Arabidopsis thaliana: one gene and its partners. The protein of the gene in region 1 interacts with the protein of each later gene in a pairwise test. Each region holds a gene or a part of one and is shown on either strand. Other genes may lie near its edges.

Region 1 (4,805 bases):
ACTCTTTGGCTGTTGTTGACTATCTTCAATCTAATTGGTGGCTGATTTTGTTTGACTTCTTTAGGACTTTTGGTGTCTTTCGAGGTCATTAGAACAATTGTGTCTGCTTGGTTGGTGGTCTATCTACAACTGTTAGCTTTTACAAGTTTGAATGCTATTGTTTTGGCTTTCAGATTTTGATGTTATGGATTTCTGTGTTACTACTCCTCTGCAACTTGAAACTAATCAAGTAATTGTCAATGCAGAAAATGGGCGAGTCTAAGGGGTGCGGGAATGTTGGACGAATGATTTCGAAGAATAAGTCTGCGAATTCTTATAACCTCTCTCTTCAGTTGTCTCCTGTTGTTTCTTTCTGGGATTGTATTGTCCGCACCATGAGGTATTCCTATATACCAGAGTGGGTGTAGTTCTTGAGTTCCTCTACAACATCATCGAGTTTAGTGCAGTTTTTTAGTTAGAAATTTATAGTCAAGCAATAATGGATCACACGGTGTGCAAGCAAGTTCAGCCAGTCGTTAGGAAAGCGAAGAAGAAGCATGGTAAAGATGAATTTGATCGTATCAAACAAGCTGAGAAGAAAAAGAGACGTTTGGAGAAAGCTCTTGCTACTTCTGCAGCCATCCGGGCTGAGCTTGAAAAGAAGAAGCAGAAGAGATTGGAAGAACAACAAAGGTTAGATGAAGAAGGAGCTGCAATTGCAGAAGCTGTTGCTCTGCACGTCCTACTGGGCGAAGATTCTGATGATTCATCTCGAGTCAAGTTTGGTGAAGAAAAGGGTTTCACAATGGATCTGTTTAGAGATGAAAGAACTAACTACGTTCCTCGCCAAAGCTGTGCTAGCTATGCGGTTCAAGGGATTGGGTTTGTGTCAAATGGCTATGGACTAGGAGATAGTAACTGGTCGCCATTCACGAGGAGGGGTGCTTGGGATAACAACATGGGAATATCAGCTGATTTGATTGCTGCTCAGGCTGTCTCGGCGCTACAGATATCTGAAAATGCTGATGGGAACGCCTTTGTGTTCAATGGGATGTTCCGGGGATGACAGATGCCACGACTCGTCCTCATTCGGTTTTTAAAATAAACATTTGCCTTCTGCTTGCTTTGGTGTCAATGCTCTGTTTTTTTCTCTTGACGTTAGACCTTATACTCTGTTTTCGTTCGCTGTAATATTAAAGACGCATTTTGAGTTGTATCTATTATACATGTTGAAGTCTCTTCATACTGCATTGTTGCTTATCTTATATCACATTCTTTTAACAAACCCTCTAATAGGTGTGCAATGCATATGCTAAGACTTGCTTGGTCTTTGCCAGTAACGTGTTGAAAATATCTTCTTAACAAAATCACACGTTCTGCTGTGAAAAGGGGAAAAAAAAAGAGAGGTGTGTTCGAATCGTGATACAAAGTAATGGATACAAACGAATAAATTTTGGATAGGTGGATATACAGTAAGTGAATACATTGGGGTGGATCAGTACAGTTGCTACTGAAATAGTAGAACATCAGAGTCACGGTTCTGCTTTTTCTGATTGGTGATTGTATGATTTGTATCTTCCTCTTTGTTCCCTATCTCTGTACTTGTGGAGGGTTTGGCAGTGTTAAGTATACCTTTCAACCAACTACCTTGCAATCTAAAGCTCCCATTGTCTGAATTGTTGAGAGTTCCTGGCCGCTGTGGAGAGCCACTGGAGCCATTTGAACCATTGGTTATGTTTGAGGTAACATTCGAAAGGAAGCGATAAGCCACTTTACTGGCTGAAACAAGTTCAGTTTTGGCTTGCTTTACCTGCAAAAGTCACAGTTCACAAGGACTTAACATCCACATGCATTCAGGTGTAAAAAAAGAAACAGCGTGGGCAGAGCAAAATGAGAGAGAACCCACCCGCATTGCTGTGTTTCCTGCTACTTCCAAGGCTGTGTCGCCAGCATGAGCAAAACGATTCACCCAACCTGTTAAGAGACAGAACCCAAGCCGTCACATAACATAAACACACACACAAACCCTGATTCCCACAATAATGGTTTTACCTGGGATCTTTGGCACACCAAGGCGGTCACATAATACATCGCAGAAGTGATTGCAATTTTTGGACAGCAAATCATAAGTGTGTCCTGGCCATTCCCTGCTGAGCTCACGCAAGATCTGATTTACCATGAAGATTGTACAATCTGTCTTCCCAAGAACAATTTTCTCACGATATGTGTACATTGGATTCTTGCCACTAGGACAGCTGAACACACCAGTTCCTTGTTCACAATACCCATAAGACCATTCATCGTTTCCATATACCTGCACAAAGTTCATACAAGATTCTATTCAATCACTCTTCCCTGCGAATCAATAGCAACATGTAAACCTAAAGTTCATCGCACCCATAATCCCATAACACGTTTCTAAAATTACTTGAAGAACCGAGTATTGAGATCCTCAGTACAGACGAAAAGGGAGCTTAAGCTCAAGATCTTACAGAGACCTTTACGACCATATGCCATTAGATTAGAGCCTCACAGATAAAACCAAAAATATCATTCCTTCAAATTCTTCATTTCCACATACAGACACACAAACAACAACTCAAAAGAGAGACATCATCGATACATGTGCAGATGTAGATTGATAGACTAAAGACGAAGAAGATCGAGGCAGTGGAGTAGTAGTACCTGAATAGCGCTGTGGAATATACCGCCAAGACCGATCCCGTCTTTGAAGAACCTATTGATCTGAACTATGGTGTTGTTAGTCTTCTCTGATCCACTGTTCGTCACATCGTATATGTGCAGAACAACCTCCGCCATTGATTCTATCTTTACCAAGAAACACGAACCCTAATTTACTACGAAATTGAGCTCGCAGATTCTCTCTATAGTAGCTTCAGAGAAGAAGGAAACCTATAGAATCGTACCAAATCCACTTTTCTTCAACAAATCCAAATTCTCTAATCTACTAGATCTCTAAGAAACCACTGCACGAAACTCTTGTTTTTAGATTTTGATCTAAAGCTGAGGTATTTTGAGTTTGTTTATCTTCTCCCAAACTTTTCAATCTCAGACGTGGGAGATTGAAGAAACTGATGCTGTGGTGTCTGGAAAGGACCCTTATACCCTCACTTTGCCGACGCCGGTTTCACACTCAACCGACACTTTCTCTTTCAATTAACCGGTTTAGTTTTCATTAAACCAGAAAAATGATTATCAATTGGTTTAAATACATCCTGAGATATTTTAATTTGAACCGTTGGATTATAAATTTGTCAAAAGAGATTGGTAAAGAAGACTTTCATTTGCTTCGTCTCTCCGGTTGTTACCACCACACAACGCCATGGAAGCTGCTCTTGCTGCATGCGCTCTTCCATCGCTCCGAATTCTCAATACGAAACCTCGTTTCAGATGTTCCTTCTCCAATCCAAGCCTACCCATTTCTCCTAATTCCCTTATCACCCGCAAATCAAGTCGATTCACAACCGCAGTATCATCACCACCATCATCATCAGCCGCTACGTCAACGAATTCTCCACCGGAACCTGAAGCCCTATTCGAACCCGGGTCGGATAAGTTCGATTGGTACGCTAATTGGTACCCAGTGATGCCAATTTGCGATCTTGACAAGAAGGTTCCTCATGGGAAGAAAGTTATGGGGATTGATTTGGTTGTTTGGTGGGATAGGAACGAGAAGCAATGGAAAGTGATGGATGACACGTGTCCTCATCGTCTTGCTCCTTTGTCTGATGGAAGGATTGATCAATGGGGGAGGTTGCAATGTGTTTATCATGGATGGTGCTTTAATGGTTCCGGTGACTGTAAACTCATTCCTCAAGCTCCTCCTGATGGTCCTCCGGTAAATTTTTATAGCTATTGATGATGATTTGTTTGTTTTAGATTGGTTTAGCATATGGTTTATATGGAACATAAAGTCAAAGTCTTTGGTTGTATCAATGATTATTTTGGTAATGCAAATCAGGTCCACACTTTCAAGCAAGCTTGTGTAGCTGTTTACCCGAGTACTGTGCAGCATGAGATCATTTGGTTTTGGCCAAACAGTGATCCAAAGTACAAAAACATTATTGAAACCAACAAGCCTCCTTACATTCCAGAGTTAGAAGACCCATCATTCACTAAGTTGATGGGGAATCGTGATATTCCTTACGGGTATCTATTGGCTTTTACATCATTTCAACTATGTGTGGTAATTCTCCGTTGATGTTTTTGTGTAAATCTGAAATCTTTCAGGTACGATGTCTTGGTGGAAAACCTCATGGACCCGGCTCATGTTCCTTATGCACATTATGGACTGATGCGGTTTCCTAAACCAAAAGGCAAATACATAATTTGTATTTCAAATAGTTGTTTTAATCCTTTTACCAACCTTCAGATTCTTCTTGCAGAGAAGATTGACAGAGAAGGGGGGAAACCACTCGAAATCAACGTTAAAAAACTAGACAACAAAGGGTTCTTTTCAAAACAAGAATGGGGTTATTCTAATTTTATTGCACCATGTGTGTATCGCTCTTCCACAGACCCTCTACCAGAGCAGGAACATGAGTATCCCGCACCAGCTGCTTCTGACAAGGTCATAGATTTTAACTTGTATCAAGATTTTCTTGTTTAGAGTCACATGTTTTAGTTACCTAACAGTATGGTTCTGTATACAGGCGGCATTGTCAAAGCGGAGATTGTCTTTGATCTTTATATGTATTCCGGTCAGTCCAGGTCGTAGTAGGCTGATATGGACGTTCCCGAGGAATTTTGGTGTATTTATTGATAAGATTGTCCCTAGATGGGTGTTTCACATTGGTCAAAATACG
Region 2 (3,565 bases), 2.3 Mb from region 1:
ACACATGAGTGTTTCTACCTAACAGCCTATGTCAATACACTTACTTTTCTGGGCCATTAAGTGGACTCACCTAATTTTTTCATATTTATAACGTTACGATCTTATTTTATGCCAATCAACGTTTTTTAAAGACATGCGAATCACCAATTGTCTCATAGAATCAACTTGCTATTATTTTGTAGTTGACTAAAAAATTACTATTTCTTTCCTTAAACTTTTATTTGGCACTTGACAGTAAGTAATCAAGACCACATTGCCGATTCAAAATAATCACACCGTTCGAAATTTTCAAATTGAGTTTTCTTGTTAGAGAATTTACCCTAAAACTAAATCAAAACCAAACTGAATAAATTCCATAAACAATTGGAATTTTCTATTTTTCATTAAGACTGGAAATATAAAAACGTAATCAAAGTCATATCAAAAGACTGCAAAACCGGATTTGTAGTCTTTGAATGCCATGCATGATGATGCTCTACACATCTTTTAGGATATGGCCCAAAAATATTAATACGCAAAAGAAGCCCACAATAATGGCCCTACTTTTAAGCGACATAACACAGAGAAATGTAGAGGATTCGGTGATCTAAATTATACGCATGCATTTGCTACACAAGACTACTCTATTCCTCCCATTTTATTCTTCTGCTTGCTCTAGTAGTTGACATAAGCCATTCTTGGACACGTTATGTTATTTTATTACAAGTAAATAAGAAGTTCCAACAAGAGCATGAAGCAAGAACAAAATTACAAAAGCAAAAAAAGAAGAAGAAGATAAACCCTTTAATTCTTCCCTTGAAATTTTACTTTCTTGGATGTGTATCTTCAGGTTTAGCCGTCCCTGTGGCAGCCTTAGCTACATCAGTGGCAGTGGCTTCCGGCTTCTTCTTAGCATACATAACAGTGTACATGATGGCCCCCGAGATAGCTAATCCGGCTAGAGCCATCGTCGTGTAACTGTATGGCAAGTTACGGCGTTGATGAAGAACACCACCTGGATTACTTCCTGGCGGCCTCTTTGATGACTCAACGCCGGCAGCTTTTACTCCCTCCGAGCTCATCTTCGTCGTATCTGCTGTTTTTCTCCAGTCTTCTTCTCCGGCCATGCTTATGCCTTCTTCAGTATTTTTTTGGTTGGGACTATACTAATCATGGAAAATTCAGCTTTAGCTATAGGTTTTTGGATATAGTAAGAGTCACGAAGACACGTAGTGTCGTTGGAGTTTGTTAATGTGTTCAATAAGGGACACCTAGCTGATTCTCTTTATTTTCTGTAATAAACATATTAGGCAGGTGTCATGCCTTAGAATCGTAACTAAGCCAGGTGCCAAATTGGGTCTGGACTTTTAACTATAATCAAAATTTATGCCCAAAGTTGGAGGTTTTTGTCTTCTGCTTCTCATATGGGCTTTAGGCGATATGTCTTTTATTCATCTTTTATCAACTTCAAGGCCCAATAAACCCAGTTCCCACTAGCAAACAAAAAGTAAAGTACAAAAACAAAAAACAGAAACAGCTTAGCTTGACCAGTCTTCCTAGAAGACCGTGAAATCACTTTCTCTATCAGAGTTCAAGTTTTGTCGCTCAATCCTAACCGTTACGTTGCCTTTATCATCTCTCCAACGGATACATTAACATTTACCATTTTTTCCTTTTAATTTTTCGTAATTCCTAAACGGCTAGTTTCCAAGTCCTCTACCTTTATATAAACCACACAAGATCCACACTCTCTCCATCCTCAACACACTTTAAAACACATTACACACTCTAATACTTTTAAGGTTTTAGATTCTAATCAATGGCTTCTTCTTCTCTTTTGGTCACCATCTTCCTCTGCATCTCTGTCTTCTTCTTTTCGTCCGTGAATGCAAATGAGGTTACCGTCGGTGGAAAATCCGGTGACTGGAAGATCCCTCCTTCCTCTTCTTTCTCCTTTAACGAATGGGCTCAAAAGGCTCGCTTCAAAGTCGGCGACTTTATCGGTAAATCCATAATTTTCAACTTTTTTTTTTCAATTAGACATTTTGTGTGATCTTCAATATACTCTGTTTCTGACATCGTCACATGTTTATTACAGTATTCAAGTACGAAGCCGGTAAAGACTCGGTTTTGCAAGTGACACGAGAAGCATACGAGAAATGCAACACCACTAGCCCTAAAGCCAGCTACACCGACGGGAACACAAAGGTGAAGCTTGACCAAGCTGGTCCGGTCTACTTCGTCAGTGGAACAGAGGGTCATTGTCAAAAGGGTCAGAAGCTACGCCTAGTCGTCATCACTCCTCGTAACTCTGCTTTCTCTCCAGGTCCTTCGCCATCTGAGTTCGACGGTCCAGCCGTAGCTCCTACTAGTGGTGCCGCTAAGCTCGCCGGCGGATTTAGTGTCGTATTTGGGCTTGTTCTTGGATTATGGGCCTTCTTCTTTTAAAAGACAATTAGTCTTAATTCTATTTATTAATTTTGGAATATAAAGTAGAAATCTTTGTTATTTACTACATTAAATTTATTTTAATCTAAATTGTTCTTCCTCTTTTTCAATTCTGGATAAATTAGTTGGATCTATCAACAATCAACAAAGAAAACAAAACAAAAGTGAATGAGAATTTTGAATTTAGTACCCAAAAAGGTAATTTACAGCAACACAAAGAAACCTGGACTGTCGTGAAAAGAGGCCTAAAAATGGGCCTGAATTGGGCCTAAAGATATTTTGGGAGGGAAGCAAAACGGTAAGGATCGAGTGGAGCGAGTCTGATTTTATCCTCTCGGCAAGTTTTTTATTATTCTGCTTCGAAAATTCTTTCATCAAAAATCTCCGGTTCACCGAAATCGACTCCCTCGCGCTCTTTTCAGCCGGTGAACGGAGACGAATCAAAATGCTCATAGCTATTCAGCACGTGTTTGTGTTTTGTTAGTTATATCTGCGCCACTTGAAATGTGATGAATCATCATCGTTAATCTCTGTTTTCGTTTCAATTTTTGCCGGAGAATTGAATTGTTTTGCTTGCTTGGCTTATCTCTAGAATGGTCGCGTTACTCTGCTCTGCGAGTTTGTGTGGTGATATATCAGTTGGTGATGCTTGTCTTGTTAGTAACATCAAAGCAAAATGTCGCGATAATTTGGTTACTGGAGGATTAAAGTTCCACGCTTTGAAGATTGGGTCTCGGAAGAAACACTGGAGAAGGAAGAGTATGAGATGTAGTGTAGTCTCCATGAAAAGTTCTGACTTTTCGGGTTCTATGATAAGAAAGAGCTCAAAACCTGATTTGTCATCGAGTGAAGAAGTAACGAGGGGTTTAAAGTCGTTTCCTGATACTGATTCTTCATTTTCGTATTTCAAATCAGTGGCTGGGAATTTGAATTTAGTTCACACTACTGAGACTTGTAACTACATGCTTGAAGCTTTGAGGGTTGATGGTAAACTTGAGGAAATGGCTTATGTGTTTGATTTGATGCAGAAAAGAATCATAAAGAGGGATACTAATACTTACTTGACTATCTTCAAGAGTCTTTCTGTGAAAGGTGGATTGAAGCAAGCACCTTATGCACTTCGGAAGATGAGAGAATT
Region 3 (4,897 bases), on another chromosome or scaffold:
ATGCCCTGTGTAAATTCGATCTTTGGAAATATGTGAAAGATAGATTCATATATCTATTTTAATAATAACGATTTGTAGTTTCCACCTATAATCTTATAACGTTAGTATATACTGTATATAGTATGATTAGTATCAAGACCTTGTTTTAACTTTTAACCAGAGGAATCAAACTTTATAGATAAACGAAAAATGGATTAAGATATTAATTATGTTGTGTTGATACCAATGATACGGTAAAAAGAACAAACAAAAAGAGAGAATGAATAATCTAAAGGAAGGTGGAGAATAAAGGCGATGTTGGGACTTGGGGGATAAGAGAAAAGAGAACATATAGAATCACTTTTTCACTTTTAATAAAAGCTATAGCTTATAGGTTTTGGCGTATTGCTTACTAAACAATAGTATAGTATTTATTGTGGGACTGGAAAAAATGATTTTATTTTTATCATCCAGTTTTTCCTACCAATCTCACCTTTTTAGTAACTTGAATTGAATTGTCCCATAAATTCTTAAATATGAGCAGTGGGTTGGTTGGTGTTGAGTGCTTCGAGCAGGCCTGTCGAATCAATGGACTCTACTGACGATAGTGAAAGCAGTAAGCTTTCAATGAAGTCGCTCCAATAACAACTTGTTAAAGGTTTTATTGGAGGTTACACAATTTACACCTACAATTATTTTTATTCGTTCAATAAGAGCCACATTCTTTAAGAGTTGGTAACACTGAACCCCATAAAAATCATCTTGGACTCCAATTTTCACATCCAAACATTTCCTAATCAAGTCATATATCCAATGTTTTATGTCAAATCTATTTCACTCCCCCTTCACTTCAAAACATCTTCCAATTCTTGTCCTCACATCAGATCCCTGAACTCAAATGATAAAGAGTGTTTTTTTTTTTCCTTTTTCCCCTAATATCTTTTACTTTTCAATGCTAGACACTAGCCCTGGGACTAAAATCCGCTAACCGCGAATATCCGGATCCGGATCCGTGATCCGCTCCGAAAAATCGGATATCCGGACTAAACGGATCTGAATACGGATAACAAATTTATGGATCAGACGGACCCGGATCCGGAGCCGGATAACAAAAAAAATTACATCCGGATATCCGGATCCGTCAAAATATCTACATATTACTAGTCCTGAGACTAAAATCCGCTAGTAATATGATATTACACCAATTAAGCTTATACATTGATATCATGGGCTTAATACATACTGATATTATTAATCTTATAGCCCATATAAGCCCAATACGACAAAGTGACATAATTTGAGTTTGTTTGTGATTTGGTGGGACACGTCATTAGGGTTTCACAACTTGTCTTCTCTCTGCCGCCGTTCTTCCATCACCATCTCTTTCACCGTCTCCAAACCATCTCCTTCACCGTCTCTATCTCATCTCCATTGCCATGAATCCATGAACGAGATCTTCTCCTCAGTCGTTAGCCCCGCAAGAACTTCTCGTCAATGGTCACCACTTACCTCCGACTCGAGATCGTGCGCTCGTCGCTTAATTGGGAACTGAATCAATGTCGTTAAAGGTGAAGAATAGAAGAAAGCCATGGCTTGGAAATGGTGGTTTGTAGATTGCGAAAGCTTATGACAAACATTGGTGGATTCGATCTGGGTTGTAAAAGAGAATCGGATTTGATCCCCATAGAAAAAAAACGGATCCGACGATTTTTTTTGCGGATACCCGGATTCCGAATATCCGTAGCAAACGGATGCGGAGCCGAATATTATATCTACGGATCCGGCGGTTACGGACCGGATCCGGATACTCCAAAAAAACCCGGATATCCGGATCCGTAACAGGCCTACTAGACACTATACTTTATTTTTTTTATCAAATATGAAATGTTTACTTTTGAATATACTATGCAAATTGCAAATCTAACTCTAGGCAAGTCTTTAATTCTCTATGTGAAGACACCAAAACGCTTGGTTTCAAGTTCCAACTGATAACTAGTAACTAGTAAGTAACCAAAAATATAACATTTGAATCTAAAGAGTTTAAAGGCCTCATTAGAGTCCTGAAAATTTATAACAGAAAAAGTATCAGCCGCATGATAGTTGATAGCAACTTCTCCATATAATCGTGTTTGTAACAAATAACGAAATCGAGAGACTGGATAGAAATAAACTAGATTGAGAGTTTACAAAAAAGAAAGCAAACGACACCAAATCTATAAAATAATAAGAATCAAGAGTTAGCCTTCAACTCCGTAAGCCCATTCAAGGCCTCACAATAACCAACCCAAACATTCCACGCCTTATACCAATCCCCAAATACTTAATGCCTTCAACTTCGAATTGCCACATCGTTGGTGGTTGTTTATCTTGGAGCTAATGGGCTGATTTTCATGGGCCCATTAGATATTTTTGCTATTTTTTCGACACAAAATTGTTGAAACTCGAGTTTCTCGAAGTAAGTGATCGGTTTTTAGATCTTTTTGGTCTCTTCAGTCGGAACTGAAAATTCATGGCGACTCGCTCGCTCTTCCATAGTCTTAGATGGTGAGTCTCCCTCCACCTCTCTATGTCTCCTACTGATTTCGTATTTGTTTCCTGAGATAATTGATTCACACTGCTTCTTATGAATTTAGTCGATTGACGAATAATGGTGTTCTCGGAAGCAATTTCATTCGAAACGCCGAATCGTCACGATTCTCCAAGTCGTACAATGCTGACGCAGCAATCGGAAACTCCCTTGTCGAGGAATCGGAGGAGAAAGACGATCTGAAGAGCAGGATTTTCAGATTGAGACTTCCGAAACGTAGCGCGACTACTGTTCTCGAGAAATGGATTGGAGAAGGGAATCAAATGACTATCAATGAACTCCGAGAGATCTCCAAAGAGCTTAGGAGAACTCGCCGTTACAAGCACGCTCTTGAGGTACTAACATCGATCATTTCCTTTTTCATTGGTTTTTCTTCGTAGCTCCTAGTTTCTAGATTGATTGCACAATTTATGATTTGTTATGTGTTGCTGCACAAAACTGCATTCTTCTGGGAGCTAATTCAAGTATTATTAACAGGTTACAGAGTGGATGGTACAGCATGAAGAATCAAAGATCTCAGATGCTGATTACGCCTCACGCATAGATCTGATTTCAAAAGTTTTCGGGATCGATGCAGCTGAACGCTACTTTGAAGGTCTGGATATAGATTCAAAGACAGCTGAAACCTATACTTCTCTCCTTCATGCTTATGCTGCCTCCAAACAAACCGAACGAGCCGAGGCCTTGTTCAAGAGAATCATTGAGAGTGATAGTCTCACTTTTGGTGCCATCACATACAACGAGATGATGACTTTATACATGTCAGTTGGGCAAGTTGAGAAAGTACCTGAGGTTATTGAAGTGTTAAAGCAGAAAAAGGTTTCTCCGGATATTTTTACTTATAATTTGTGGCTAAGTTCATGTGCTGCAACCTTTAATATAGATGAGCTTAGAAAGATTCTTGAAGAGATGAGGCATGATGCTAGTTCCAATGAGGGTTGGGTTCGGTATATCGATCTTACTAGCATCTACATAAACAGTAGTAGAGTAACTAATGCAGAGTCTACTTTGCCTGTCGAAGCTGAGAAATCTATTTCGCAAAGAGAATGGATCACATATGACTTCCTTATGATTCTGCACACTGGTCTAGGGAACAAGGTTATGATAGATCAGATTTGGAAGTCTTTGAGAAACACCAACCAGATATTGAGTAGTAGAAGCTACATTTGTGTTCTTTCATCTTATCTAATGCTTGGTCATTTGAGAGAAGCCGAGGAGATTATCCATCAGTGGAAAGAGTCTAAAACGACAGAGTTTGATGCTTCTGCTTGCTTGAGGATCTTGAATGCTTTTCGAGATGTTGGTTTAGAGGGAATAGCCAGCGGCTTTCACTTGATCTTGGTGCATAACAAATGCAGCTTGGAGAATGAAGGATCATCTTAAGATGGAGAAATAAGTTGGTGAAAATTTTATGCTCTTAGCAAGAAGAATCAGATCAAGCTCATTAATCATGGTGGATGAATAAAATAGAGGTTTCTTCTCTTCACTGTGATTCTTAAATATCTTTTTGTTCTTTACGTGGGAGGTCATGAGACACATAGATTTCCTCACCAGAAGATTTTGCTGCATAGTCGGAAGATGTGTTTCCTTAGGCAAGGTCCATAACATTTCATATGTAACGTCAAATTTCAAAAAGTCCAAATTTTACAACAAAAAATAGATTGTGGAGGTTTTTCTTGTATGGTTGTTGTTTAATAATAAGTCTACAAAATTTGTTTTTGGTATAGAAAAAATGATAGTTTGAAAGGTTAGAGCAAAATCCTAGCATGTAAGAAGCCAAAGAAGGTTCCATTATTAACACTCGAGTTTATTACATGAACATGATACACAAACATGTTTAGACCCATGAGAGAAACAACAGAAGCAAATAACATTACAATAGTACAAAACTACAAGGCCTTTGAAGAGCTTAAGAGCCAGAGAGATTAGAAAAAACAAAAAAGATGACAAGTTATGGGATTGATAGCAACAGAAGAGTAATAATGAGACAAGAGAGAGTGGGGACATAGATTTTCACCTAATGAAAGTGGGAAGATTTCAATTTCCACAAGTCACAACCACTCCAAAAATTTCAATATTTGCCTTTTTGATTTTTCTTCATCCACACCCACCACCACCAGACCTTCACAGAGATATTATTATTACTCACGAGTAAAGATAATTATTAACGATCAATGAGCACCAAGACTTTGCTTTTTTCCCTTCTTTCACTTTTCTTCCACTCCAAGCACAGAAGAAAGTGACTTTTTTTTGGTTCTTTTTTGAGAGAGCATGCCAAATCCAAAAGTAAACCACTATTGATCCAGCTAGATGAACAGTGGATACGGTCCC

What was found.
Region 2: the proteins of AT4G25660 (region 1) and AT4G31830 interact in a two-hybrid assay, tested with the Arabidopsis thaliana proteins (one large-scale study listed by BioGRID).
Region 3: the proteins of AT4G25660 (region 1) and AT5G09450 interact in a two-hybrid assay, tested with the Arabidopsis thaliana proteins (one large-scale study listed by BioGRID).

Annotation. Positions count from the first base shown.
Region 1 is NC_003075.7:13,081,671-13,086,475, reverse strand, and holds AT4G25660 (PPPDE putative thiol peptidase family protein), read right to left. Parts: upstream 3,070-4,805; 5' UTR 2,800-3,069; coding exon 2,665-2,799; intron 2,294-2,664; coding exon 2,032-2,293; intron 1,954-2,031; coding exon 1,886-1,953; intron 1,790-1,885; coding exon 1,487-1,789; 3' UTR 1,046-1,486; downstream 1-1,045. Other genes in the region: AT4G25670 (stress response NST1-like protein), read left to right, coding at 479-1,045; ACD1-like protein, read left to right, coding at 3,323-3,838, 3,962-4,149, 4,231-4,570, 4,653-4,805.
Region 2 is NC_003075.7:15,400,000-15,403,564, forward strand, and holds AT4G31830 (uncharacterized protein), read right to left. Parts: upstream 1,227-3,565; 5' UTR 1,107-1,226; coding exon 804-1,106; 3' UTR 605-803; downstream 1-604. Other genes in the region: ENODL15 (early nodulin-like protein 15), read left to right, coding at 1,799-1,982, 2,078-2,427; PGR3 (proton gradient regulation 3), read left to right, coding at 3,021-3,565.
Region 3 is NC_003076.8:2,939,376-2,944,272, forward strand, and holds AT5G09450 (Tetratricopeptide repeat (TPR)-like superfamily protein), read left to right. Parts: upstream 1-2,422; 5' UTR 2,423-2,488; coding exon 2,489-2,523; intron 2,524-2,612; coding exon 2,613-2,901; intron 2,902-3,043; coding exon 3,044-3,949; 3' UTR 3,950-4,293; downstream 4,294-4,897. Other genes in the region: AT5G09445 (uncharacterized protein), read left to right, coding at 1,579-1,818.